4 linked regions of the Drosophila melanogaster genome follow. The protein of the gene in region 2 interacts with the protein of the main gene of each other region in a pairwise test. Each region holds a gene or a part of one and is shown on either strand. Other genes may lie near its edges. The genes, in order: teq, CG10949, Fer1HCH and CG14315.

Evidence for each region.
Region 1: the proteins of CG10949 (region 2) and teq interact in a two-hybrid assay, tested with the Drosophila melanogaster proteins (one large-scale study listed by BioGRID).
Region 3: the proteins of CG10949 (region 2) and Fer1HCH interact in a two-hybrid assay, tested with the Drosophila melanogaster proteins (one large-scale study listed by BioGRID).
Region 4: the proteins of CG10949 (region 2) and CG14315 interact in a two-hybrid assay, tested with the Drosophila melanogaster proteins (one large-scale study listed by BioGRID).

The regions. Positions count from the first base shown.
Region 1 is NT_037436.4:9,070,969-9,079,355, reverse strand, and holds the start of teq (tequila), read right to left. Parts: upstream 4,714-8,387; 5' UTR 4,578-4,713; coding exon 4,527-4,577; intron 4,293-4,526; coding exon 3,734-4,292; intron 3,685-3,733; coding exon of another isoform or gene 3,490-3,684; intron 3,337-3,489; coding exon of another isoform or gene 3,091-3,336; intron 3,038-3,090; coding exon of another isoform or gene 2,561-3,037; intron 2,499-2,560; coding exon of another isoform or gene 2,335-2,498; exon of another isoform or gene 1,900-2,334; intron 1-1,899. Other genes in the region: CG4942 (uncharacterized protein), read right to left, coding at 5,037-5,627, 5,685-6,149; CG4911 (uncharacterized protein), read left to right, coding at 6,726-6,868, 7,455-7,610, 7,669-7,773, 7,835-8,387.
Region 2 is NT_033779.5:20,412,115-20,419,582, reverse strand, and holds CG10949 (uncharacterized protein), read left to right. Parts: upstream 1-2,664; 5' UTR 2,665-2,878; coding exon 2,879-3,419; intron 3,420-3,476; coding exon 3,477-4,315; 3' UTR 4,316-4,410; downstream 4,411-7,468. Other genes in the region: Arpc2 (Actin-related protein 2/3 complex, subunit 2), read right to left, coding at 1,916-1,989.
Region 3 is NT_033777.3:30,384,045-30,391,761, forward strand, and holds Fer1HCH (ferritin 1 heavy chain homologue), read right to left. Parts: upstream 3,576-7,717; 5' UTR 3,487-3,575; coding exon 3,420-3,486; intron 3,366-3,419; exon of another isoform or gene 3,068-3,365; coding exon 3,059-3,067; exon of another isoform or gene 2,840-3,058; intron 2,785-2,839; coding exon 2,674-2,784; intron 2,553-2,673; coding exon 2,275-2,552; coding exon of another isoform or gene 2,254-2,274; exon of another isoform or gene 2,213-2,253; coding exon 1,940-2,212; 3' UTR 1,758-1,939; downstream 1-1,757. Other genes in the region: Fer2LCH (ferritin 2 light chain homologue), read left to right, coding at 5,167-5,284, 5,372-5,398, 5,653-6,218. UniProt on the Drosophila melanogaster protein: Stores iron in a soluble, non-toxic, readily available form. Important for iron homeostasis. Iron is taken up in the ferrous form and deposited as ferric hydroxides after oxidation.
Region 4 is NT_033777.3:18,154,762-18,161,685, forward strand, and holds CG14315 (uncharacterized protein), read left to right. Parts: upstream 1-3,939; 5' UTR 3,940-4,008; coding exon 4,009-4,662; 3' UTR 4,663-4,710; downstream 4,711-6,924.

The sequences.
Region 1 (8,387 bases), on a different chromosome or scaffold from region 2:
ATCTTTGTAAATGGATCTTTTGCCCATCAAATTCTGGCACTGTGCAGGCGACTTCCCTAATGTAAGACCTAATGGCAGCTGCTTCTTCTGCCATGGTTAAGTTATTTTCGGAGTCGGCTGCGTTATTTGTTTTATCGTCGTTCTTCAGCATTAATTTTGCTGGTATAGTTAGATCGTGAAGATCTTCCTCTTTAATGTCTTCCTTGACTATAGTCCTATCTTCCTCGTCAGAGTTAGTGCTGTCTTCATTCAAATTTATTCTTAGTGGGGTGTTTACTATGGTTGGAATTTCTATCTGGAGACTGAATTTATTTTTTATAAATATTAATTTTTCTCTTAATGTCACCAGTAGGTTCAAAGCCTTAGCACACTGTTTGCGTTCCAAATTCTTTCTATTTTGTTGGATCAACTCTCTGATTTCATTATAACTATTTACCAAGACTTGGGCATTCCTATTGATTGTTACAGCTTGTGTTGATCTGTTTTGCGTTAAGCACTTATAGGATTTTCTGAAATTTTCATTTTGATCTTTTATCTGATCAACAAGCTTTTCCCAGTCCATGCTGTGGTATACTCATAACTTCAAATTTATTCATTTGTATATATTTTTTTTTTAATGTAGATAAATTCAATATTACGTTTTATATTTTTTTTTATTTATTATTTTTTTTTTCATATAATTTTTCTCATATTTTCATTCATAATTGACTTTATTAAAGATCTTCCTTAAATATTATCTATACCGTTAGCAGTGCTACGGTATCGTTTCTTAAGACACTTGTTATGCAGTTTGTATATTTTTATTAATGCATTGGATACCATAATTAATGCAATTACAATTAGTATTATGGTTATCCAGAACAAGTCTGCATTTTGGACTTCTACTTTATTTATTACATTGGCTGTAGAGTCCACAGTTTTAGTGTCTATTAGACCCATTTTGGGTATACTAATTTTATATTTTGGAGAATAGAATAGAAAATTTCCTTTGTATATACTTTTATTTTCAGTTTTACTTATTTCATTTGTCTCTATAGACATTTATGTTTGGAATTATCTATTTATAAAATCTTTCAATGTTCGCAAGAGTAAAAAAAAATTGTATTTTACATTGTTGCCTGCCTGATTCTAGCTATGGCTTCACGGGCCATATTGGGTTAACAGGGCATAATAGTATATGCTCCGTTTTACAATATTTCTTACAATTTTTCTTATCTATATATATTTTATATTTACTTTATATTTATATATATTTATTATTATATTCTGCTGTTGATGATGCTCATCAGGTGTCAGCTGGGCGTCGCCGGGGGTGGCACGCTGACACTCCCTCGCTGCTGTCTATTTCTTCGCCGCTGAAGACGTCGATGGTCGCTCACAAGTCCCCAGGCAGTGGGGACTCCAGATTCCTTCGCAGCCAGGGGGGCAGGACTTCTTTGGTTTTGTTAATGCTGGTGCTGGTGCTGGACATGCCTGGTATTTTGGAACTTCATTAATTGTGGGTATATTTTTAATATTATCTGAGTGAGTTTTCTCGAGCTTATGGGTCTTTAATTCTTGCTGATATTGCAACAAGTGGTCTAGCTCTGCATGTAGCTTTAGAGCTTTCGACCAAACCGGTGGCGTTTGCTGACCGTATATTAGCCACCTTACGTGGGCTATACGTTTATTCAGCTTAGTTTTCAAACCGCCACGGTGTTTGCCCATACTCAATAGAACTCTACTCACTCAGATTTTTCCTTGGTTTTTGCAGTTCCATTTAATTAGTCCAGTCTTCTTCCAGTCCAGTGTTCCTTTGTTCCTTTGTTTTCACCAGCTTTGGTCAATTCGTCCAGCGTTGGACGACTGTCACGGTCGCCATGTAATGATGAACTCCAATTAAGAACACAAGTCCGTTTTAAGTTGAAGGCAGCCGTCGGGCTGACATATATTTATTCAATTTCTTCTTTTGATTTTAGAGTAGGCAGAAATGGTTCTGTCAGCTCAACGTCTACAGAGTCTCTCCGATTTTACAGTTTTTTATATATTTGGACTTAGGCTAATCCGCGTAGCTGCGCTGCCGGGTACGCCAGCAGCGGAGCGGCGTTCTTATGTATATCTTATATATCTAGGCTTATCGGGAGAGCGAGATATGTATGTACGTATGTAATATGTATTTGGTCGGCGTGTGAATGCTGACCATGCACTTATACTTTTTGCCTTCGAGTGGGCAATGCACTTATACTTTGTGGCCTTCGAGTGGGTGATCATGTTACATCCGCCCTGGCCTAACTGCGTGCATAAACATAAACATAAACATAGCAACAAAGTGCTGCCATAAGTTAATATGCTATTTTATTTAATTGTTCTTAATATTGCATAGGCACATACTACACAACTCTCAATGAAGGTCTGCTGATTCCAGCACCTGACATACTTGGTGCAATCGAAGGGATGCAGATAGAGTCCCTGTGCTTGTGGAGGACAAGAAAGCGTCGAACGATCCACCATAAACTCAGCTGTAAACGAAAAAGTGGTCTGAAATCAAGTCCAAGTCATCAAGATTCCTTGAGATGCTTACTGGAAAGTTCAGCACTGATATAGGAGTAATCCAAGTAATCATGTGCAGAGAGAAGGCTACGAGGCACACATTGACGCTGGGAGAGGCTGTAAAGCTGTCCAGTGGGACAGCATATGATCTCTAATGCTCCATATTGGCACCTGACATAGTGGCCAGCATGGAATGGATAAGGGTAATTCTTCTGGACATTGGGTGGACACGATCTAAGTGAAGACAGCTGGCTTTGAACATTTCCCCGTAAGTCTTGAGAAGTATAAGTGGTCTGAACTTGGACTTCCTGCCAGAACTGCACCCGATCAGATATGTGCACTTGATGACTTGGAAGACAACTTCTTTGGGATACACTGAATGCCATCTGGGGGCCACAACTTAGGATGGACATTCTGCCACCAGACGAGCACTGAACGTACTTTTTAGCATCGTAGGGATACAAGAAGATGCCGTTGATGTTACCAGGACAGGCATTAAGGATAAGTGCTAGTAAAATATTATCATAAATTCTAGTGTACAGTGATGATAAAGTAACTTACAATACTCATAGCTGATTTCGGAGATAATTAATGTGACATAGTCGGTAAAGGCTAATTGTGCTTTTAACTGACAGTAGCGCCTCGATATGCTAAACACATAATTAGGTTGGCAGTTTTGCACAGCCGATTTACCATCCTTACAACTAAGGAATTTTGTTTGATCAAAGGGATGAACAAATTGGCCAACGGCTCCCACTGGACACAAGAGATAGTTGACCTGAATCTCAGCCGACGTGAAGGAGGAAGCTGTTACAATTCAAAGGGATCAGGATTAGAGTCTATCAACTAAGCAGGCAAGCAAAGCGTGTACAGCGTAATATGAGAAAATAACCCGAAATGAAAAAGCAGATGAATCAAGCGAGGCCAAGCAGTAGGGATAAGAAATGAAATGACACTTACAGGAGGTCCGAGGGGAGTCAGAATACACACATACCGAAGAGGAGCCATCGAAGATGTGGCCCCGTGGACACTGTTCCACCTGAGGCTTAACCCCAATTCCGCACCTCAAATACTTGTGCACGTCGTGCGGATGTGGACGAAGCCCACGTGTACCGGGTGGACAGCCCAAGTCATCAAAAGGCAACGCAGGGTAGCCTAACCGAGTGTTAGTCAAGATTTTTGTATTTAAATCACTCATACGTACCGGTGCCGGAGGTATCATCTCGTACTGCTCCAGTTCCCGATCCGCATTTGGCCAAATCCTTGTGCACACATACCAGTGATGCTGGACTAAAAGCAGTTCCTGGTGCGCAGTCCATAATAAAAGCTTGACCATTGGCGCAGTTAAGAAACTTGCTGCAATCCGAAGGATGCGGTTGCAATCCATTCACTCCCGGTTGACACTTGGGTTCACTATCTAATTGCCTAAGTCTTCCCAGTCGAGTAGATGCAGATTCCGCTGAAGGGCAAACCACATTGCTGGGATGATCGCACACCTGGGTCCTGTCATTGAACAGAGTTCCGGGCGAACACGTCTGAATGGTGGGGCTGCCATCGAAGCAGTTCACATAGCGATGACAGTCGTGGGGATATGCAACCAGACCCGTAAAATGCGGCGGGCATGCCGAATCCCGATGGTAAATAGGCTGCTGCTGGTCGCCTCCGTAACTCGAGTGTGCGTTCCCTGTTGCTGATAAGCCAACTGGTTCCGACTGCTCGCTGTGGTAGCCACTGCCTGATCGATAAGCTTTAGCCCCGGGTCGCTGTCAAAAGCGCAATTATGAAATATTATTGAACAACCGTAAGTAATTAGAGGCAAAATTTAGCTAATAGCTTGTAATTAAGTTCAATTAAAATTAAAGTCTTAAGCGCGTTTTAAATTCCTAAACAACATTTTTAGTTTGACTAAAATCTTAAAAAATTGTAAATAATCTAGAATCTAGATGATATCCTTAAAAAACACAATTTGAAATTATTAATAAACTTTCTACACTAACATCCACTAGCAGGATCGCCAGCCAAAGGCCAAGGAGCCACTTGGCCATCATTTTACGTTTCCGCTTTATAAGTATTTGAATTTAAATATTTCTTAAAATGCACCGATGCTGATAGCAACTACACAATTGTTTTTCTCGCGCTTTAAATTCTTCGTTGTGATCCCGTTCGAATTCCAGGCTCGACTGACCCACACCCAGATCGCATTTCAATTCAATTGGACTCGGGATGAATCTCTATCTCTGCCGCCGCTGATAGATGCTCTCGTTTGTCGCCAAACCAATTGAGTGGACCACACTATCAGGGCTTGTAATCTCAAGACCTTTTTGCTGTCTTATCGCCTTGTTTTGTTTGCATTTCTTTTGGGGTTTTTCACTCATTTATTTACTTCTATGAATCTGAGATGTTGGAGCTTAAGAATGATGATGATGAATTACAGTGGCGCAGTCGCATTTAAACAAACTAAACGTCATACCCAAATTAGACTAGGTGATTATGACTAAGAGACTAGATCATTTGGCTGCCGGCTTATCAGCCGGCGCCCTCTCGGCAAGTCTTAGCCTCTGCTGTATTTTTAGCCAGAGCAGATCGTACGGCTCACTGAGTTCCGTTTGTGTTTTGGGAATTCCCACAGATCGTCGCACTTCCGGCGAGAGGATGAGCAGATTTTGAGCAAGGCCAAAACTGCTGGAAGCTACCCAGTATACACATAAAGCTGAAGGCACTGTACAGGCTACTGGAACCATCACAACACTCAATCCACGGAACACATTGTTGGCGATGTTCTGCAAGCGTGTAGAAGGACGAGTTCTAGACATGGCTTGCACTTCAATGATGGCCAAATTGATAAGACCTAATGCTACAGGCAGGATATAAGAGTTATCCACCACCGTAAGGTTTGGTATCCAACCAAATCCGCCAATGGTCATTTCGGTGGTCACGATTTGAGCTTGAATGGACGTGGGATCCGGCAGCATGTACACTAAATTGCGCAGAGCCACGGATTGAAAGATCCACAGGGGAATCTGACCCCATAGCACAATCATGGTCTTCATGGGATGGCAGTTATCCCGAACTATAAGGTTCTGCCACTGCTTCTTGATCTGTAAGATAATTGACATGACGAAGAGTGTCTCGCAAACATTTGAATTTTAACAAACCGAACGCCGATAAACAATCTGAGTCTGCTTTTCGCTCCACTTGAACTTGTGCTTGGCCATGGCTGCCTCTTTTTTCAGTTCCTCCACAATGGCCGGCATCTCCAGCGCTATCTTTTCAATTCTGGCGGTGATTTTGTGCTGGTAAATGGTCAGAGGCAGGGTGACCACGCTCCGAAAAAGGAAAGTGGACAGCACGATGGACGCCCACCAGGGCAGGCCACTGTAGTCGTGGATCTTAATGAGAACATCCTGCATATAGGCCACCGGCGTGCTGTTGGACAAGGTCTGCCAATATCCCACCAATCCACCGGCATTTGCCAGTTGGACACTCGCGGCCGCCGCTTCTGTAGACGACAGACGATGATTGCATGTGTGATTCGCAATAGTTGTTCCTTGGTATGTGTATTTGTAGATGCCAGCAATTGATGAACTTCTACAGGTGCGTAAAAGAAGCAAAGCTGACATTTTTAATTAATATAAAACTAATAATCAACGTAAACAACTATATAGAATCAGCAGTGCGAGTTGTTATCATTGTGAACAGCTGATTGTTACCATAACACGGCTTCAATCAGTGTGGCCGTAGCTAGGCATTGTAGTTGCATTAACCCTTAACTTACGATGCTTTTTTTGCTATCCGAAATTAGGAAACATTGAAATGCAGTTATTAATTTGAAATCATTTAATCGTTGATAAGAGAACAATAACAAAATTTATACAGTCATTTTATACGACAGCAACACTTTTATTTCCTTTGCATTTTTACTCACTTTGAAATTTCTAAATTAATAATTATCTCGGCTTACTTAAAATGGCTAGACCTAATTTAAGTGCATAAATTGTTTTTTAATTGACGTTTAATTTCATACGTATATGCTTAAGATAAAATTGTGCTTGTATTCATATTTGTTTTCTTGGTCTTGGCATATTTGCGACCTCGTGCGACGGTCACTCTAATTTGGCATTTTAAATTGTGCAGCGTACTCGGCTGCACTTGCAACTTTTCATTGTTTGAAACGCAATTAACATTTAAATCGAGTAATGAATTTTAGCCAACGCCAACCAGAATGGCACAGAATACCATCGGTGGCACTAAATCACATATTCGACTATCTAAATCCCCAGGATCGTCGGTCGGCAGCGGGTGTATGTTTTTCTTGGAGACATGCCTTATTTCAAAAACGGTAAGTTTGTCACTGTGTGGGTGTGTCCGTATCCGTGTGGGTGTAGGTATTTGTGTATGTGGCTGAAATGTTTAATTTCAGTACTTATTGGGTATATTTCCTTTGTTATTGCCCCTTACATTATATAGCCGTGGGTTAATCAAGCGCAAAAAAACATCTGTGCAAGCAAGAACGAATCGTAGACCCCAAAACTTGTTCGACATTTATATGTTGTACTCTTCGCATTTGGCAAGCTTTCAATGTGTGGGGGCAAGCACCTAGGTCCGTTTGTTTATATTAGTGTTGAAAAAAGGGGAAAGTCCACGATAAGAGGAATTCCCCTGCCAATAAATGCAATTAATTAAATTAATTGATGCGATAAGCTGTGAGCTGTAAATTGCGATCTTAGCGATTGCGAGAAAGATACTTATTTTTCTTACCTTTTCTATGCTGATTCATTTATTGTATTTATAGTAATTTTCCTATGTTATTTAAATTAATTATATTGGTCTTTTGGACTAACAAATAGAAAAGAAATAAGCCCAATTTTGTAATTTAGTATTTACATCTATATATAATTAATCATTACCTATTTTTCACCCCTCAGCTATTTTAGAAACTTTCGCTTTCAATTGGATGTGGGATGCGATGATCAGTTGGCCTTCTTCCATCGCTCCATGGCCAACTTGGCCATGGAACTGATAGTAGTCTTCGACTTTCAAAATGCAGTTCACATCCAGAAAATGCGAGGACTTCTATACAAGTAAGTTTGCTTTAGAAAACCCAATGAGGACTCAACCTAACCATTTTCCATCCCACAGAGTGGCGCACTGTGATAACATCCAGAAATTGCGTTTCCAAACCCACAATGTCGGCCTTGTTGCCATCGGAAACATGCATAGCGAGCACTTGTTGGCCATCGAACAGTATGTACCATTAGAAATAAATAAAAAGTTCAATAGTTAGATATCCTGACAATCCCAACAGATGCTTTGTGGAGCCGTTGATTCTGTTTTTAAGCCGCAAGCGTCAGCCCTGCCAGCTTCTGGACCTTGGAGCCATCGAGGCCCTCTCATACTATGGCCATGATTTTCTAAAGGCTATGGGAAAACCACAGGAACTGCTGCAGCTGACACTCGCGAGCATCAAGTACGATCCTAGTCACTATCCCATCCTCTCGTTGGACTCGACCCTGCTGCAGAAATGCGCCGCCCTGCAGGTGCTCTCCCTCGACTACGACACACTTTCTGACGAACTGCTGCACACTATCCAGGTGCTTCCGCTGCGGAAACTTTTGATCGCAGTGCACGGCCTGGATAGCGAAGAGCATCCCGATGTGTCGGAGACGGCCTGGTCCAACTTTTCGGATCACTTTTCGAGCATTGAGTTGGTGCTGACCCTTGTGTATGCCTATGAGGCCATCGCACTACTGCAGCATCGTGTGCTGCGTAGCAATATGCCTGTAACCCATGTGCGACTGCTATTCTGCGAAAAGATGAACGCCGAAGCCTTGGACTGGATGTCGTTGCATTACAGGGAA
Region 2 (7,468 bases):
TGTAGGCGAACACAAGTCATCTGTTATAATATGCATAATTATTCAGGATGCCGTTCGCCTTTGCATTTGATATTGGAGCATTTGAGACACAAATAAAAATGGATTAAGTGTGCCACTTTGACTCCAATCCATTTTCATATGAACAACGAATGTATTGTGAACGAATGTATTTATCTATGGAAATATAATTATATCCAAGATGATTTAGACGTTCAATTAATATTGGAGCATTGTAGACACGGAAAAGAAAAATACTTTAGCATGTAAACTTTTTCTCCATATGACTATTGAAGCATTTTGAAGTTGTGCACGAACACAAGTCGTCTGTCTTAATATAAGTAATTAAACAGGATGCCGTTCGCTTATAAAATTGATATTGGAGCGATAGAGACACAGATCAAAGGAAAGCTATAAAATATGCCACTTTAACTCCACCCAAATATTTAATTAGTTGTTGTGCAGTTGGCAACCATCTTAGGCAATAAAATAAATCGAATAAGACGATTTAAACGAACAATTTATTTTGGAGCATTGTAGACACGAAAAAGAAGCCACATCATCTTCAACATGTAAACTTTGTCTCCCGAGGCATTATTGGTCTAATAAATCGAATACTATTGTAGTCGAACACAAGTCATCTGCTATAATATGATTGATTATTCAGGATGCCGTTCGTCCTTTCGTTTGATATTGGAGCATTTGAGACACAAGTTACAGGAAGATCGTAAGACGTGCCACTTTGACTCCAGAATATTACAAAAGTTGAACATTTTATGGCAAATGTACACGAACACAAGTCATCTGTTATAATATGATTGATTATTCAGGATGCCGTTCGTCTTTCTAGTTAATGTTGGAGCTTTTGAGACACAGATCAAATATTGTTTTTGAAGAATGCCACTTTGGCTCCAAAGCCTAAAATTTGCAATAATGTACACGAAAGTATTTATCTTAAGAAACAAAAAGAATTACTCAAGATGATTTAAGCGTTACAATTTATATCGGAGCGTTGTAGACACGGAAAATGGAGAATCTTTAGCATGTAAACTTTGTCTCCCAAGAATACAGATAATAGGGGAGTAATATTGAAACTATTAGTTTTTATGTACACGAACACAAGTCATCTGCTATAATATGATTGATTATTCAGGATGCCGTTCGTCCTTTTGGTTTATTTTGGAACATTTGAGACACAACAGGAGATTTTTTCCAAGTATGCCACTTTTGTTCCACAATTTATAACTTTTATTGCCTTAATTTCAGGCATTACACTGCAATCTTATCGGGAATAAACTAATGGCATCATAACTATTAGCATTTAAATACATTTATTTATGTGAGATCTTAATCATTCGCTACCAAACACAAATACCTCTTTCTGCTGATAGTGCTGTTAGTACAATAAGTTATTTTACTAATTTTAATAATTTTGTTAGTCTGTAAGCTTCGTCTAAGCTTCTTCTAAACCGTTTAGCTTAAACATATTTCTTTCGTAACACGACTCCTTTGATAATGTTTCTTCAATAATAATATCCTTTTTCGGGATTAGGAACAAATAAATACTAATATTTTCGATCATCACAAGCGTATGCGTTTGAATGCACGTCAATGGATGAGTCAGTTTTGCAGATTTTCAGCACCGATGATGCGAATAGCGAGTTGTAATGAATTAACTAATACGCTGTCGACGTAAGGGGGCTGCACTGTACTTGGGTACGTGTGTGGGAGGGAGAGAGCTGCAGCGATGAGTGTTCCAAGGCTGGAACTACACCCAAATTTATTCCCGAGGAAAGAGAGAGCTAACGAAATTGATAACAAAGCCGACTGGTGATAACAGAACGGTGGGGAATGCAGCATAGAAATCAAAATGGTGGAATGGAAATTGGGGAAACGGGACTGGAAGGCATTGACTTACCCAGCCTGGGCATTACGGTATTTGACCAGCAGCGTCTCCTCGATAATCCGATTATTGATTTCCAGCAGGATCATGGCGGTTGAAGTTAACTGTTATTTTTAGTGTGCCAATTTCGATGACAAATTATATGACGTTGACTGCCGCTAATGGTGCTGCTGCTCGCTGCTTCTTCTTCTGCCGCTCCCTGCGCTCTTTCTGCGCTCCGTTGAGTGCGAGTAAGACGGTGCGCTGCTCCAACTCACCAATACTGGTGCATGACGGGCGTATTAATGAATCAACAACAAAAAATGGGCGCTGATGTCGGCTTTTTTGGTCCGTCACACACACATGGACGCACTCTCGCCACACACACGGGCGAATTCCAATGCTCACACACACAGTTGCAAGAAAATCCACCTTATCCTCTTTTCGCGCCTCCAATTTCCAATCGCCAGTACTTGCAGCGCGCACGATGCAGTGCAAAATCGGTCTCAGACCGTAATACTTATAAAATTATAACAAAACGTGGATGGAAAACGGGGAGCACGCTGCCGTATTTTCCTTGCTCACAGCGTTGCCAGGTAGCACAATAGAGATGGGGCAAACTCACCGATGGAAAGATTGAAGTATCGAGCTATCGACCATCAATGTTATCAGGTTACACAGAAATTCAAACCAGCAGATTTTAACAAACATAAAGAGAATTTTCTTTAAAATATATAAAATAGAATATATTTTAAACGAAATTCGTACACACGAACTTTAAATTATAAATATGTATTAAGACATTTTAAGACAAACACACAAATATTTTATTTAACATTGTTATAATAACGGTGCTATAAAACTAAGAGGCACATTTTTTTAACAGAATAATCTGGCAGCCCTTTTTGTGCGATGACCCATCGCCTATCGACTATCAATATTTCCCGCCAGGCTGCCGGATCGTTCAGAATAAATAAAAACAAATAATAGCGAAAATCAATGGACGACGATGAGCTGATTAAATTGATAGAGAGACACCCGATCCTGTACGACAAGGACTGCGCGAGGAGCGTGAAGAATGCGGCGCAAAAGGACGCGGCCTGGAAGGCCATCTCCCAGAAGTTAGGAGCCTCGGAACGGGCGTGCATTACGCGCTGGAAGAGCATTCGCGATCGTTTCGGCAAGGAGTTTCGCCGTTTCCAGGAGCGTCCGGATGAGCCCACCTACTGGGACATGTTTCCGCGACTGCTCTTTCTCAAGGATCACTACAAACAGGGACTGGCAAGGAACGAGAGTCTCGACGGGATGCGTTTTGAGCCCAGGGAGCGGAAAAAGCGCACAAAAGTGGACATGGAGCAGGAGAGGCGGAGAAAGGACGAGGAGGAGGAGGACTCCCAGGATGACCTGCTGAACGAGCAGCTCATTGAGCTGGTCAAGTCTCATCCCGTGCTGTATGATCGTCACAAGATCAGAGTCTCCAAGAACCTAGCAGCGAAAAACGAAGCCTGGCGAGAGATTTCTGAAAACCTAAATGTGTCGGGTGAGCTCGGGGTAACCCTCTTGATCTTCAGCCCTTAATGCCGATAATTTTCAATAGAGGAACTTTGCTACAACCGCTGGAAGAAGCTGCGTGATCGTTTCGGGCGGGAGTTCCGCAGTCATCAGATCAACCAGTCCACGCCCATCACGTGGAGGTACTTTAACGACCTTCTCTTTCTGGGCCGCCACTTCCGCAAAGGAGTGCCCCTGGTTTTGGAGAACATCAAGCGACGTGGACGACCACCCAAAGCAGGAAATCCTTCGGGAAAGACCAGCAAACAGCCGGAGGGAATGGTGATCTCCAGTGGTGAGCAAATCTGGGGCGCTGATTACCCCTACAGTACGGACAACGACGATCTGGAGGATGATCTTGAGTTGGCCTACGATGAAGAGATTGAGATACTATCGGAGGCGGAGCAAGCAACGCCGTACGATTTTATCCTCAGCGAAGCGACGGCACGGCAGGACTTGGAGCCACCACAGCAGCTCCAGGTGACCACCACCACGCCGGCCACCAGTGAGGAAATAATTCACACAATCGCCAGGGTAAATCCCGTCGTAGAGGAGTCCTCCTCTCTCCCTGGGGACTCTGTACCGTCTGCCGCCATCTCCGACAAACTGTTGACCACCGTGATTGCCAACATGGAGACCGTGCTTCAGCAATCCCGGGAGCTGCAGGCCCAGATTCACCACGAACAGGAGCAGGAGCGAGAACAGCGAAGTACACAGCCTGCCAACAGCCTGCTTGCCAAGGCTCAGATGCTGCTGGACGGACTGAGTCCGTCTGAGCGGGCAAGTGCCGAGCGTAAGATCGTGCAGTTCCTGTGCCAGTGCCAAATCAAAGCCCTCGATGGCGAGGAGATCGAGGATGTGGCACCTTGTCAGGTCATTAACTGAAATTAGAATGTTGTAGATTAGCTGCAAAAGTATTACGAAGAAGGGTTATTACATAAGTGTAAGCATGAAAATATCTGTAAATAAATAAACTTACTAAATATTGTGGCTCAAAAGGCAATATTGAAAAAGAAAGGTTTGAATATTTGTAGATTTCAAATTGAGTTGTTTAAATTACCAGTGCTGAAAAGCATTGAAATGCGTAACCACAACCATCGCCATCAAACGCTACCCGCCACCAGAGGGCGCTGAATTATTCAAATATTTCGGTTACGCGAAAATTAGAAACAAACATTTCATACCGACCAAAAACAAAAAACAGAAATAAATAAAAGCGCCCACGCCGACACCATTTATTGCAATTAATAACGAACAAATTCGCGCGTACGCAGCAGATGGATAAACAAATCGCTTGGCGTGCACTTGGCTCTTGGGAAGCGCGAGTGCCAACAGATTCTCGATTCGCTTAGTTGCCGCCTCCGGTTCGCACGGTGCAGTTGGTCGGGACCCAGAGATACCGATCCAAATCCCATTCTCATGCGAGCAGGAATCCCTAGTTGTGCGTCAAAGAGCGCCGCCTGAACTCTGAAATTATTATTAAGATAATAAACGCGAGCGCCTGCTAAGTGCCTGCGAATGGTTCTTCTCGGGCATAAACTTGTTTCTTGTGTAAATAAACGAAGTGCGCGGCAAGCGTTTGAAGTTCTGGCCGGGATCCGGATTCCCCGCGTCGAGTGGTGCGGCCCAAGCGGATGGATGAAGAGAGTGCGCCCGTCGCTGTGACACCTGCCGTCCATCCTCCTCGTTAGACCGAACCCCATGTCATCGCTCCATGCCTTGGCGGCCATTAGCTCGATCATCGGCATTGGAGGCGGCACCCAGGTGGTCCTTTTGGCTGCTTTTAGACGCACTAGATGCATTCTTTGTTGACACACAGGTAAGTGCATCCAGACAAGTAGTGTCAGTTGGGATCAGCTATTCCATCTACTCGTAGAGTTACCAGGCTAAACTAGACTCATTAGAAAGAATGATACATGAAGAAGAAAGCGTCTCATAACCTAAAGTCCGTTTGTCCGTTTATCTGTCCGAATAAAAGTCGAGATCTCTGGAAGTATAAAAGTATGAATCATACGAATTGCAATTTTGCTTCGGAATATGGCAAAAGAATGTCTTCTTCCATTTTCGAATATCTTTATCTTCCTCTCGTATGTAAGTTGGGTGAGAGGTATCTGATAGTCGAGTATTTGACTATTTTTAAATTCCTTTTCATTTGCTTCATTTATTCAAGTGAAGCAAGACAGAATACAATAGTCGATTTCCCCGACTATCAGATACCCATTACGTAGTGAGTGGAAGTGAGAACGCAAAATTTAATAATATTTCTGGCATATCGATATAGTGGGCGTGGCAAAAAGATTTTTTTATATAAAATCGATAGAAATTTAAAAGACTAATAATAACAATATAAAAAATATAATGCAGTTTTTCAAATACAGTTCTGGTCGCAATACATATAAAAGCTAGAACGTTAAGCTTTATAGTTCCTGAGATATCGACGTTCAAACGGACACAGGTCAGATCGACTCAGCTATTGATCCTGATCAAGAATACTTTATATGGTCTGAAACGCTTCCCTCTGCCTTTTAAATACTTTTTAACGAATCTGGTATACCCTTGCACTCTACGAGTATAAATAAATAATAAATCTTAATATGGAAATAAACGCATTAAATACAAGTTCAGCGTACTATATTGACAACTGGGTGAACTGGCGTGGGTAAATATCTTCGCTTCTTCAGTGAACTGCAAGCTGGACGTAATGCATGTGCAGCCATAGTGCACGTGCGTGATATTTTTAAAGCCCAAATGCAAATGTCGCTGCAACATTTAAAGTTCAAATCAGCCGCAGACCTTTGACCCGACCTCGAATCACCTCGGGCATCGTGGGTGGCACCATGTACAGAACTGCCACTTTGTCACATCATCGGAGGTCGAATCATCAATCACCATGGCCGTGGGTGGATTTGCCACGCCCCCTCCCGCGCACCCGGCCGTCTGCTGCGCACTGTATGCAGTTGCGATTGTCTGCGAAGAGAATTTGTATAATTGCCAATTGCCGCGGATTTGCTCAATTGCAGAGACCAAATAATATTCAGCATACGCCGTGTGTGCCAAATTAATTGTAATACATTTCACCGCAGTGCCATGCCAACACACATACGTATATATAGCCTGTATTTATATATATATAGACTAGAGAGAATCGCATAACAATAAATCCAAACTGAAGATTTGCGCCGCTTTGGAGCACCGAGTTTCTGAGTTGTCTGTGAATTTGGTGAGTTTTGCCTTGGCTCTGTGCATCGGTATATGTATATGTAAGATTGTTTATTATTATTGTTTATTATTAATTTAATTATTAGTTTAATTCTAAATGCGGTAATTATGTAAAGTATTCTTAGTTTGTGACCGAACGACTGCTGCTGAGAACTCGACTGCCTGCAACGCTGACTTCCACTCGACTCCACTGCTGCCTTGCGATCGTTCCTTCGATGACTGATTGTCGATAACTTCGATTTCCGACAATCATGTTGCTGCTCAACAGCGCTGCCAACCGGGTTGTTGCCAGCCTTCAGCCTTACTCCATGTTACATTCGGCCCTCCTGATCATCATCATCCGACCCGGATGACAATAGGTCTGCATTTTCGGCTATGTACTTCCACAACTTCATGTTGTCACAGCTGGTGGATGTGACATTGGGTCCTTCGACGTTTGCTGCTTTTTTAACGTCATATCTGCCATTGTCTTTGACCCCTGTGACTTCGTATGGACCTAAATACCCGCTTGCCATCTTGCGGCCAGCTACAAATTGGGTCCTTTTAATTGCAACCAGATCACCTGCTTTGTATTTGTATTCAGCTCGGCGCTTTTTGTCGTAATTGCGCTTGTAGTCCTTCTGCGCCTGCTCGATGTTGCGTTTTACCAGCTGTCTCATCTCATAGCGGTCCTCGTTGAATTGACAGACCACTTCTTCTTGGAGCAGTTCCAGTAACCGATCCTCAACTCGGGTGTACATCTTGGTGCCAAACATGACCTCAAATGGTGACAGCTTCAGTGATGAATGCACGTGACAGTTGATCGCCTTTTGTACCTCA
Region 3 (7,717 bases), on a different chromosome or scaffold from region 2:
AATTGCGCTTAAATATTTGCGGCGCTTATCGAAAAATTTGCGGCCCATTGTCGAGAGGATTGATGCAATTTTAAATCCGCAACGAACAAGGACATCTGCTCAAATATTAGCTTATGAAATTGTTTAAAATGCCACGCACTAACCCATTCACTTCGGTCACGCTCCGGAAAACGGAAAATCTGGTCGAAGATGGCGGTGGTGGGCGGGAAACCCGAGCTCAGCCTTTTGACAGTTGCCACAATTTATCATAATTCAATGCATGGCATGACCTGTCAATCACTCGAATCGACATGGACGTGGACATGGACATCGAAGGGGTGAATCGAGCACACATTAGCCGCAGGGCAGGGGGTGGATAAGGCCGATGTGTTTGTGGACATTTTTACAAGTGACTTATGAATTATTCCGTGCACTTGCTCCTGTCCATCTGCAAGTAGCACACTGAAAACTAAATACTAGTTTATTACTTATAACAATATTTGAGCAAAGGGGAAGAAATTACTATAAGAACCTCGTGATATATAGTAAAAGTGAATACAATTTTTTGCAGTGCAGTTAGCGTCTCGCTTTACTTCCTCTTTATGGTTGGCTTTTTGTGTTTTCCAATCAGATTAGCATGGTAAGGGGTTAAGAGTACGGGGTTACCACCGCTGGGAGGGGACCACATGAAAGGGTCAATAATGGGACTCGAGACGAAGATGCTGACATTTATCAAACGGAATATGCGATGCGTACAACCATTAGACACTGCCCACTGATGGACGTCGGACGATGGACAGGCGAGACGTGATCCCAGATACGGCTCATCAAGTGCATTGTCGTGGGACAATAAAGGGTTAATCGGCTAACAGAGAGATTGCAATATTATCTTCTGAGCAAATTGGAGTTGGGAAGACAGCAAAAATTAGCGAAAGTAGATCCAAATATTAAGTGTATCAATTGTAAGGCGTATCACTTGATTCCGCACTCTACTCAACTCTCCAAGGACCTCTGTAATCTGATAGGCTTACTGAACCAACAGAGAGTAGAAACAAAGTTTTGCTTTATTGTGATTTTACGAAATAACCTACAACTTCACCATTCCCAAAAACACAATTTCTTTTTCCTTAAACATTCCAGTTTTAAACACCTTTTTTACAGTTTTTTCGTTGTAAGTTGGCCAAAATATGTCACAAGGCTGAAAAACGCACTTTTTTAGTCAGCTGGGGTCCTCAGCTAAAGACCCATATCAATATTTGCTTTAATTTGGAAAAATAATTTTTCGGCCAAATTTCGCATTTTTTGTAAGGGGTAACATCATAAAAAATCGAAAAAATTTTCAAACCAAAAATTTCTCTAAATGAGTTACCCGTCGTTTAGGAATATTTTTACAAGTTCAACGAGGTATTCCACTCCACAATTGGACGTGTCTTTCCCAAGATATAGCACTTTTTCTGTGAAATCCCCATCGAAAATTATCAACAAGAATAAAATCACCCTCGTTTTCCATCTGAAAAAACTCCCTCAAAAACAAACGCATATACAGTTTATTTCGTTACATATATATTGTTATTTATTTAAGAACTTGCTCGTCTAATTGACAGAAAAATATAAAGATATAGGATGTATTGAATGGGTTGTGCTGAGTGTCTTACTATGCGAATGAGCGATTCCACTTAAGCCTAGGCGAAATCTCGGCGATTGCATAATGTGGAGCCCCCTCCCGAGGTGTACGGAAATCACAAGTGGTTGATAAGAAAGAACAGACGTGGAATTTTGCTGTGCTGGTTTGAGGATCGCAGTCGAACGGATAATTTATTGGCCAGTCGCCGACTTGGCTGGTGATGATTTAATAGCGGACCCTCGGGAAGGCTCTCTGGGCTGACAGATAACAGATAACTCGACTGGCTGATAATTTTGATGCGTGACTGGGCGCTGCGCCTTCTCTATCTCCACCTCCTTACAGGGTCTTGTCGAACAGGAACTCGCCCAGTTCGCCGTTGGTGTCCATCATCTTCTTGAGAGTGGTCAGCTTGCCGGCGAGCTCGCGCTGTCCGTGGAGCTGCTCCTCCAGATAGACACCGGTCAGGTAGTCCACCAGGTGGTAGTGGTTGTAGGGCTTGTTCTCGCAGGTCTGGATCAGCTTGCGGATGGACTTGGTCACCTTGATCTCCAGGTCGAGGGCGTCGGACAGGGCGGCGGCACCATCGGTCCACTCCTGCTTGGCCACAGTCTGTGGGGGATTCGCCAGGATTAGCTGGGCTTTTGGGTTTTCTAGGCGAGTCGTCGACTTACCGGCACATTGATCAGATCGCTGACTCCCTCGGTCAGTTGACCGCGCATGGACAGGTACTCCACCAGCTTGGATCCGTGCTCACGTTCCTCCTTGGCGGCCTTGAAGAAGTGCTCGGCGAATCCAGGGCGGTTGACGGTGTCGCGGGAGAAGTAGGCGCCCATGGCCAAGTACTGGTAGGAGGCGTTGATCTCCTCCTGGATCTGATTGCGCATGCCCTTTATGCAGGCATCCTTCATGTCCACCCAGTCCTTGGTAATCTCAGGAACAGCCAGGGAGCCTGCAATGGGATAAGGTTGGGTTAAGTCGGGGGACCACGATAACAATATATGGCTAGTATTCAGCTTTAAAAAATTTATTTTTGTAATCAGAACTTAGGTAAATTTTAATATTTTAAAAACCTTTGCACTCTTGGTCTTGACCTTCATGGCTTAGGTTTTGTTTTTCTTTTAGTTGATGCTCTTCTCGCTCCCTTTGAAGCTCTCTCACGAAACTCTTGCTTTCTTGCTTGGCTGAGGGGTAGGGCGTTGTTGGTTATTGCATTTAAGAGGGCGTAATTGCATAAACCTTTGAAATTGCGCTTGAAATGCCGCTATTCTAGGGCACAAAAACCGTGTGCAAAACTGTAATGGCCTACTCTCCCACTCTCTCTCTCTGTTTTTGTAACTGCATTGGTAACGTGCGCAGCTCTCGCCGCCATAGTAACGGCATTTGTTTTCGTGTAGTGCCGTGTGCAAAAAGCATGGTTCACCATGCTAGCTCACTCGGCCCGTAAAAGCCGTGTGCAAAGAGCGCCTTGAAATGTAACAACAAAAAGTCAAGCTTATTTATACCGCAATATTCATGGAAATGAAAGCGAAATTCGCATTATTTAATTATGAAAATTTATGTATAAAAACTGGTTATCATTTCCCCAAAGCGCAACGGAAGTATCAATAACTTTTAAATCAACTGGTTTGGTAACTTCACTTCATTGACGAAAGAGAGTGAAAGAGCGTCAAAGAGAAACGGCGCATGCTCTTTTCAACGCATTACAAATGTTTTGCTTCTCTTTGCGTATTGCGTCGAAATTTATTGTTTTTTTTCCGATGACCTGCCTTTGTTTTGTTTGAAATTCTGATGAATAAAACGTAACATTAGTACTTACACTTGAAATCTCCATAGGCCTGGGCCACCACGGCCAACAGGAGCAGGCTAGCAATTAGTTTCACCATCTTTGATCGTCGAACGTAGTCTTTACACAAAATCACAGAACAAAAATTTGTTTTTCACTTTAGTTTGATTTGCTTGAAATGCACAAATGAGAATGAGGCGACTCGAGTTGAGCTACAATGTTAAATAGGCGTTGAAATTGAAAATCTAGCTGCCTTTACACACACTGGCGCAGAAGGCGTCGCCTGCTTCAATTTGATGGGCTTGATTGGGATTATTTTCGACTTCTCGAATGCTTTCCAGTACCTTCTGCTGACAGCTTTAATCTGATTTTTCAGTGGAGCTAAGGCCTTTCTACGTTGTGTTTTAGCGAACTCGAAAGCGAACTGTCGCTCCGAACGGCGCACAAAACACTTTTAAGCGCGCGCGCTCTCGGTTTTTCTTCGTGTGTGTGTGAGTGATGGGAGAGTGTGCACTGTTATCTTTTCAACATGTCGCCCGTTCTTTGTTAACCGTTTAAATGGCTGATAATTGAATATTCCCGATAATTGCCGCACTCAATGTGATACACACGTCCTCAATATGGGTATACTTTGTATAAAGTCGGGTTTCCTAGTCAGATAATCCCCACTTACTAAGAAGTAAATTTATCAAATGCAATATGGCCGCTCTTTTGAGATGCGCATCAGCTGTTCTTTGTTTTTGTTTTGGCCGTGGGAGAGCACCACGTCATGTGTTGCCAGGCGGTTTAATTATTGCTGACAATTTAATTCACATTTTGTCAAGTTGATTTGCACGTTCGAAGGGGGGATCAGTCACCCACTTTGATAACTGCTAATATGGCGACGGCTCTTTTTTACGTGTCGCTTGCAGAGCTCCAAGAATGACACTTGATAAGAAGGATACATGGTGGGAAAACTTACAAATTACATAATTTGTTTGTTGATTGGGGAAACCCTACATTATCTCCGAACCCAGCAATAATATGTATTGTAAATAGCAACAGTCTCAAGCTCGATGCTGCTGTGAATTACCAATATATCAAAACTTAAAACATTATCTTAGGAGGTAGATGGTTTATCTGCAGTTTATTTTCAATTCTCATCGTTAGCTGATAAAACTCTCAGGAAACCACTTGAAATCCAAAGTGCAGCGTCCATATTTTGCACACGCTGACAACCCTGTCGTGAGTCACCTTCCAGCAGGCGCAGCAACAACAGCACTGGCAGCGGCCATATTTGAATGACACCGAAATCCCGCACTGAGCGCAAAACAACACATGCCCATGCACGCTCTCCAAAACCACACACACACAGCCATATCGATCGCATAGAAAGAGACGTACGCGACGCTATAAACAGCAGTTGATTTTCAGAGTTTCACCAAGAAGCACATAAAGCGATTGAATTATTAATAAAAGCACAGGCACTGGAAGTGAGTTTTAATATTACTAACTAACTACTTTGTGAGTGTTTAGTTACGAAAACTAGAAAATAATATTCTGGAAACTGTGTTTTTAAACCGACCACCATATAAATTTAAAAACCAAAACATTCCATTGGTGGTGGTTTTGTTGTTAAAAAAGAGCACAGAAAATTCAAGAAAACGCTACGACGCAAAACGAAAAAACTCGCCCAAAATGAAAACAAAAGTGTCTGTTTTCCAATTGTCAATTGTTGTGAAACTAATTTCCTTTGTTTTCGCCTCTCGAATTTGATTTTAATTTACAGTAAACCGTCGACATGAAATTTTTCGTTGCACTCGCTCTCTTTGCGTGCCTCGGCTCTCTTGCCTTGGCCAAGGATGATGAATATTGCCAGAACACTGTAATCACCGCATGCTCTACGTCAGCCTTTTCGGGTGAGTAAAGAGAGCGCCTCTAAGAGAGAGTGGCTAATCTGTGTTGTTGCTTTTTGTATCTTTGTAAAACATAATAATAAAAACAAGCGCTCACGGGCTTTTTCACAGGCAAGAGTAAGTGAAATATAGATTGGATGTATTTCTGCACTATCTCAGATTTCGTGAAAATGAACACTTTCCAATTCTTACTGCATTACGGCCCTTACATTATTATTTTAAAGATACAAATACAAATTCAAAATTCTATTGCCTTGTTTAGTATGGCACTACCTAGTTAGGAACCATTAAGACTATGTCATTACTATTGGATGTGCTTCTGCTCTCCTATTCTAAGAGTGTGATCTTTATTATTTGCTTTTTCCCCGTAGCCAACTCCATTTGTAATGCCCGTTTTGCTGGCATTGACCATATTGAGCCCGAGATCCAGTCCTACATCAACGCCAACTTGGCCAAGTCGTACGACTACCTCCTGCTGGCCACCCACTTCAACTCCTACCAGAAGAACCGCCCCGGCTTCCAGAAGCTGTACCAGGGACTCTCGGACCGCTCCTTCGAGGACAGCATTGCCCTGATCAAGCAGGTGACCCGTCGCGGAGGAATCGTTGACTTCAACACCCGCCACGAGTCTTCCGGCTCCGTGAGCACCAAGCGCGGCACTCTTGAGGTCGACGAACTGCACTCCCTGGCTCTGGCTCTGGACACCGAGAAGCAGCTGGCCACCGGAGCCACTCACGTGCACTCCCGTGCCACCCACGCCACCGACGCCGAGAGGGATCCCGAGCTGGCCCACTACTTCGAGGAGAACTTCCTGGGCAAGCAGGCCGAGAGCGTGCGCAAGCTGTCCGGCTATGCCAACGACCTCGCCAAGCTGATGAAGGTCCCCGACCCATCCCTGTCCGTCTACCTGTTCGACGAGTATCTGCAGAAGCAGTAAGGAGTGGAGACCACCTCCTTTTCCTCCTTCTTTTTCTAACACGCTCCTACACTGTCTCCTCAAAATTGCTCTCATAATTCCCTTATAAATTTGTTTCCTTGGATTGTTCATCAATAAATCGCAGTGCAGCAGCAGCATTATCAAAGCAGCCACAAGTGAATAATTTACACCGCGAAATTCACCTTGATTTACCAGCACACCAGATTGTGATAATGTTATCATAAATAAGTTAGCAAGTTCGCCCCAGCAAATGTATCTTTAGTATGTACGTTACCGCTTGAACAAATAATAAACACATCAAAGAACCTAATTATCAACTAGTAAAACAGCAGCATTTTTGCCTCTCTGATAAGGTTTGGGTTTGGGTCGAAATGTATCTGGTCCTCAATGAGGGGCGTCTGTTTGCGTTTTTTCTCCGAGTGCTGCTGATTGCGGGCTGGCTGGCAGTGTACTTTGGATATCATATGGAACAATGAAATATACAAAGTCGAAATGGTATCGGAAACTACTCAGTTCTGCGATCACAACGGGTGTAATGTTCCATAATGTTGTGGTTTCTGATATTCTTAGAATGTGCCTTCAACTAAAAACCATATGTTTATGTACAAGCCATCAACGCTTGTCTAAAAATAAATAAATAAATGAGAATGTAAACCCATGTTGTAAATATCGTAGTATTGTATGCAAACTACGTTACCATTTTAAAATCATCTTTTTGACCATTCAGAGACTGGAATCACTTAGGATCTAGTGGGATCTATCTATCTCAATATCAATTTATTACTTTCTTTCAATTGACAACCTAAATCGATGGTGAAAAGTGAAACCTATCTCTCGCAGTGATCTGTGGGGCTTAAAGGAGCCCGACTATCTAATCAGTGATACACTCCTCCGCCGCTGATACGAAGGGGCCACGTTTGTCATTCCATGCGAGATTCTCTCTGTCGCCTTATCACTGCCTGGTGCACACGGCTTTGCCGCTCCGGAACCGGAGCAGATCCGCCGGGCGCCATCTTGGCCGTCTGCTGACTAAGTCGGAGACTCCACGATGACGTGGATGTCACATTGTTGCGTAAGCCGATGCAATCTCGGATTTTAATTGTCCCCTGAATTTGCATCGCAGTTTCCCTATCTTCCTCTGCTCCCTCCTCACTCTCCTGACCTACAATAATTGTTGTGAATCCCTATTTGTGAATATGAGTTTTTTTTTTATAATCCACATGGAAGCTCTATTAATTCTAGGAAATTCCGTAAGATCCTATAACAGCTGCTCAATTAACGTGTGAAATAGGTAAAAATGTATCTTTAATCACTTTTGAAAGTGGTTTTCTCTAAGCATTTTCTGCGGCATTTGAGTAGCTATTGTACTATGCGACTATGGATCCCAGCCACGCATCGAAGCAATTTATCAATTAGCGACGCCCATTCAATGAGGACTTTGCTCATATCGCCGCACATCCGGAGTACGGATACGGTCCACTAGCACGTGAAATGAACGT
Region 4 (6,924 bases), on a different chromosome or scaffold from region 2:
AGATCCCTGAAAGCTAGTCCACTAATTCGTTTTCACACTTTTCATTCATCGGACAGGTCGAAATGGCTGGCGGCGAATTGGCAGCGCCTAATTTCATACGCCAGTCCAAGTTCTGCCACACAAGGCAAAAATTTATAATAAAAAAAGAAAAATTGATATTAAAAGAGCATTTGTTAGTCGGCTACTTAGAAATAATTTGGTAAAAGTTCTAAAACCCACTTATAGACACAGTGATGAAGAAAACGCCTTCAGTTTATTGCTGCATACTTTTCGACAGCTTTTGAGATATATACCTCAAGGATATTCATGTGATTTTCTTTCAGTGCACATGGCACCCGTCGCCAGCCGACTAATATTTATATTTGCCCTGCATTTCTCACTCCGCCGATTGCCAGCGATTTGATAAGCAAATGGAAATGCAGTTCGCTGGAGAAAGAGAATAGTGCTGACGATCGGAGGAGGATTGCTGGAGCAGGAGGGAGCAGGGGGGCGGGGGGGTTCTGTCCGACGATGGCGGCGAAAGGTGCAAATAAATAATTTGCAGTAGCCGGGCGGCGACCACTCGACGACCCACTGTTGGCCTACCTACCAACCAACCAACCGACTTGGCCAACTGAAACCCCAACTTCGCTCCATCGAAAGCGACGGCCAGACAAATATTTTATTGCAAATTTGCTGATATTGGACGACAGGCGGGCACTGGAGCAGTTTGTAGTGCTGCTGCTATGCTCTTGTCCGGCTGTTTTGCATATTAAATTTATTTTATTGAATATAGCCAAAGATTTAGTTAGATACGCGAGGGTGGATCGTGTAGTATTCAATCATTAAAACTAATTATATCAGAAGTCAAAAGCCTAAACAATGTGATTGAGTTGAAACAATTTTACTACTGAGTCTGCATTTTTAGTTGGTAAAACCAAACTCCGACTAGACTAGCTAATAAATGTGCTATTTTAATAGGCTCTTTCTAGCAAGTAATTGCCGAAGAAACACTGGAAAACTGCTCTAATAAAGTGGCCCGTAATCGACTGGAAACCTAAGAGATTTTCCCCCCAAAATTACCGACCGTAATGTGCGAGTTTTGCGAACCGCCCTCTTGCTGGCCGGCATGTGCGCTTTTCCAGCTCATTGTGATGGCCTCTCCACCGGGTTAGCTGTGTGCAGCCCCCGCCGGCGTTGTTGGCGCATAATTGCCATCGGATTCGGATGGTGGATGGAGGAGGCCCAGCGGGCGATGAATTATTAATTGCCGTTGATTTGCATTGAGATCGGAACGGTTCGGGATCATTACCGCGACCGGCAATCTTGCCGAGCGTACCAATCTTGCATATAGTGTAAACATAATAATCAACGGGCATTATATGCCGATATTTGCCGATATATATATATTACATACATATGCATGTGGCGATCAGCAGAATGCGCTTTTGCAAAATGGCCGGCGGTCAGCGCGGCCCCCAATTGACACCTGAGCGGCCGAGCTGCCTATTATTGCTATTTGCGCTGCTGTTGCTGCAGTTGCAGCTGTAATTGTTATTTATGCACTTGCATTTAGCCGACTGTATGTGGCATGTGGAGCAGCGCATAGCGGCCATGCCCCCTGGGATGGGCGTAACGCCAGCAATTTGCAGTGCTGCGCCAACGATTACGTAACAGTTGGGAACACTTAATTGTGGGGCGAAAAGCGACCCACAATGATGATCAAAATTAAAGTGCACTTCGTCATTATCAGTCGGAAGAAAAGAGGGTTTAGAATCCCCGATCTATTTTTATTCCTCAAAATTAAGAGCATATAATTATTAATCACAAATCACCGACAAGAAATCTTCAAATGTCAAGTAAAACTCCAAAATATATATATTTTTTGTTAATAATTAAAAACATCCCGACGTTTACTGTGTATACATATTAAATCAATATTAAATATAATTACCTTGATGCAAATACAAATATTTGGATTTCTAAACATTACCAATTAGATTTTCCAATTGGACTTTGCAGTCTAGTTGGACACACACGGACGCACGCACACGCGCAAACTTCAATATGGCGGCCGCGACAAAAACGAGACAGAAGATCCTTCTGCTGATCTTACAAAATCGGATAAATAAATAAATTTGCTAGTTTTTTTTTTGTTTTGGGCAGGGCTCGCGTGCTTAAGTTCAACTTGAAAAAGTCGCAAGTGACTACTGTGCGATCCCTGGAATCTCAAGCGGGAAAAAAATAAAGATAAAATGTGTACACAGGTACATACATACATATGTACATACATATATGTATTTATGTACGTAAGGAGCAGCTGCCCTCTTTTGTTGTTGCACTTAAAGTCGCTAAAATGCGGTGCGTTCGCTTGTCAAAATTGCAGCAGCATTCAGCCTTTTTTATGTTAAGAAGCCACAAAGAGATGACGCAGTCGAAATGGTTAAATGAATTAACCCTTTTACTTTGCACAAACACACACACACACATGTGCTTGCAACAGGCAATACAGTGGCTACAACAACAATAGCAGACAGGGCTTTGTGATTTTTCTGGCCGTTCTTGTAGTTTTTTGCCCAACACACGGATTAAGCTACACCCTCGGAAAAATATTCGACACAAAATCACGCGATTTAAACTAAAAAATAAATAAATAACACAATTGCGCGGAAACTTGGGAATACACGGCGCTAAGGATATCGATTACTTATTACTTATTACTTTTTATCGATTCGCATCGTCGGAGCATTCGCAGGGTACTGCCAACTTATCTCAATTTCCTAAAGGTCATTGAACTCAAATATATATATAAAAAAACGAATGTAGCATTGCATTTATAGCCATTGATTAATATGAAAGGAAAGTATGTATAAAAGTGCAACCAGTATTTGAACTTGCATAAGTTAAAAATCAAAAGTTAGCTTAGGTCCTATGATTACACCAATCTATTTGACCAAAGTACATAATTAAATATTACATCCAAAATTCAATTGTTCCTGTACAAGTGTACTAACTTTTTGGCGTTTCATGAGCGGCTCGTGTGTACAAACATTTATTTAAATGCTTACCCCCACCCCGTAGCCACTTCAGATGAAGCTGGAGCTGGAGCCGAATCTGAAGCTTGGAGCTTGAAGTTTGGAGCACGGTGGAGAATTGCGCGTAAATTCGTTGCGGTCTGCGCGTCATCAACGTAATCGCCGTCAACAGCAGTCAACAGCATCAAACTGGCAGGCAAATGTTGCTACTGTTTCCAGACGCAGTCCGTCCGGCCAACAGAAGCAAACGAAGCAACAGAAGCACCAACCGCCGCAGTGAAGTGGTTTTTTATGATCAGACGAGATGAGCCGAGCCCAAAGCAGCACTTTCCATCCGAGAAAGAAACCGAGGCTACAACAAAAGCGTGTCTTTCGAGTTCGCTAATGGGAACTACATATATGTATGTACATACATATGTACATTCCGGGTACAAAGTGCATTTTGTGGAAACCCTTTGGGCAGAATGTAAACCATTAACAAATTGTAGCAGACCTATGGCCTATACATTTCTTATTTGTTTTAACTGTTTTGACTCTTATAAATGAACATATTTTCAAGAATCTGAATTAAATTGTAAATTAGTAGAATGAAGCTCTTTCGAAACTACCTCGCTTTGCTCCTTCCGTTTGATCATTTGACCATTTTTGACCATTTGCTTTAGGTTATGGCATTTTGTCCATTTCGTATTGGTCATTCGGTTTTGGCCATTAATTTCGTTATATCATTTCGTTTTTGTCTTGCTTTGGTTATTTCGTTTTGGTCTTTCATCTTAGTCAGTTCGTTTTGACCATTCGTTTGGGCCGCTTATGTAGTTTTAGCCAAATCTTTTTGACCAAATTGACTTGAGCTTAGTTCCTGGCTCTACATATTCTGTTATTTTTTTTTTTTTTTAATTTTTGAGCTGGAATTAAAGCGTTTCACTTCAAACATAGTACACCTGTCGCACAGACTTATTGTAGTTAGTTTTGTCAAGCGTTCGAAGCGACTGCAGAAATGAGGGTCTACTTGTATCAAATGCGCCCGGTGCTCTTTCTCTTCTACATGGTGGAGACGACGGCCAACTTATTCGTTTTGTACTACCAACTGAAAGCATTTGTTTTCGTCAATCTGACAACGATGAAATGGGAAGATGTTCTAATCCAAAGCTTTTATATGTCCTTCTTTTACATATTCACAGTGGTAACGCTCTTTGCCAGCATAAATCTCTGCACCGGTCATCGCACATCGATCGTTGAGGAAGTTGTGCGTCCTCTGATCGGATTTGTTCTATATACGGTAATATCGTTGATGGCACTGGGCGATGCCGAGACGGATTTCTATATATGGTATGATGGAAGGAACCCGGATGATTTACTATATCCGGAGAAGCCGCTCCATCCGTTCTTCGGTAGCCTGCGGGACCAGGCGACAGCCTCATTGGTGTCCAGTGTTATCTATCTGCTGCACTGCCTCATTGCGTTGGATGTCCTTCTGTCGAATGACGATTCGGATAACGAACGCGAGTCATCCAATTCCTCCGACGATGTGAACGAAGAGGTCGACTACGTTCCAGTGCGTCTGTACGTCTTTGGCGGCGTGATGCAACGCTGGCTGGAGCAGTTCGACTGGTTTCAGGACTTTACCCACAGTGGAGTCACAGATATCTGATATTTTATCATTAACTTCATTTATACAACTACAAATTACATGATAAACAAAACTTCGCATCGCTTTTCTCGGTGATTATGCAGCCTTTGGATTTTGGTTACATTCGGTGCAAGAAACCCTAATCATCAGCATTCCCATGACGTCAGTGGGAAGCAACAGTTCGGTCTCTGCATCATATAAAGCTCATTGTCGTCAATGTGCCAGTGATAAGCAGCTGGGGCCAAAACATCTACATAAGTACGCGTATCTATAGTATCTATGTATCTTGGTACGAGTATCTGTATCTGCTAGTGCGCAGGTCCAAAGTTAAAGCGAACAATCGATATATGTACTATGATGTTTGGGGCAAAGCGGCAGTCAAGAGCAAGGTGAAGCATTGCCCCGGTGCTCCTGGGTGTGGTGCTTTTTTCATTCATAAAAAAAAACTGGTCCACATGACATGTGGACACATTCAAGGCTATTTCTAGACCAGACCAAGGATGTCCTTATGCCTCTCATAAACTATGCAATATGATTAGAAAGTCTGAATGTTTAGAATTAGTTTTATAAACTCACAAACTTCGGTGGATCAAAAAGTTTGGCCAGGTGAAGCTAATACTATGGCCTACTTTTCGGGGTTATTTTAATAATATGATTATTGCTGCCATGCTTTTGTATAAACAAATCAATTTCACACTCTTATTAAGTAACATTTTTAAGTACTTCCCCTCTTATAAAGCTTGAATTTTCCATACGGAAACCCAATTCAATCTTAAATGCTACAATTTAAATAAAAAATCACATAAATACTCGACTTTAAACAGAAGTCAAACAAAACAGCAATAAATCTGCTCAAAAATCACGCTTAACAAGAAGAAAAAACATATTTTCCGCCCACGCAATAAGCGAATGTGAAAATGTACATAAATGCGAGAGGGAAAATCGATAAGGACGCCATTCCGCAGGAGCGTCGTGTCCTTGAAATCGAAAAAGGGAAAGACCATTCATGAAGTTGGCCGAACTTTTCATGAATGAAAACGGCCAGCGAGGAGAAAAGTTGACACATTTCGGTGAGTTTGCGCACCATAATGTGCGAATTTTCCAAAGGGGAAAATGTTCTCTCTCCAATTTCACTGCGAAAACTTCCCCATTTTTTCCGGCCACTGACGCAACCACAATGCGCTGTTCCAAGGTCAGCGTAAAATTTCATTCATAAAACTGATACGCCCCGCGGCGTAGATATACATGTATATATATCCATGGCGCGTGTAAGTTCCCAGAAGGTGGTCATGGTTGGGGGACAGGAGGTTAGAGCTGGATGTTGGGCGCGGATTTGGGCCTGAGTGAGCACTCCATTTGCAGCTTGTTGATTTTTCTACGCGTGCAAACACAAACAAAGTGGGAAACCATTTCATTCATGAATCCAACTCAGGGGGAGGATTGTGGGGATGCTCCAAACTTCTGATCCCAAAGATTTTTGGGTGGAGCTCGTCCAGAAAACAATTTCGCGCTAAGCTGAAAGCAATTTTCGCCCCTAGGAATTTGTGGTAAACTTAGTTTAGCTTGGCTTTCATTCAGCTGGGAGTCAAATCTTGCTAACTTGAAAATGTTAAAGGTTATTGGTTAAATGATGCGTATTTGTAAAATAAATGAAATTGTTGTGTACGTCACATAGATTTTATGTTTTAAATTCCGTTCAGTTAGATTCGATTTTTGCCAAGTTGAAAAGTATTTATTACACAATCTGATGGTAACGTGTCGTATGAGTAATATTTTTACATAACATCGCCAAGTTTTTGTCCTTTGCCTGTATTTAAGCCACCTGTATCCACAATTTACAAGATTTCCCAGCAGTCTGACCACGAAAAGTCCTCCTGGTTACATGGTCATCCGTGGACATATCATTGACATACCAAAGTTGAATCCATTAAAAAATATAAGTTATTTGTCATAAATAAATAATCGAAACTGTTTAATATTGTATTTCTTATAGAATGTTATGTACAATAGCAAAGTTAACTTTCTACTATTATTCCATAGTGAACTAAATAAGTTTATAAAATGGATCACCCCACCTAGTGGTAACAAATAGTTTGGACAAAAGCTATTGAGTGTTTTTATTTTGCAAGGGCTCGGAAACAGCCAAAATGTGACATCGCAATAAACGAATTTATAAAGTTCATAGAAATACCATGGTACCACACACCATCTTAAGGATATTGAGGCACAGTTCGATATTCCAGGGCGAACATAATTTTGGCTACGATCTAAAGTACATTTTTC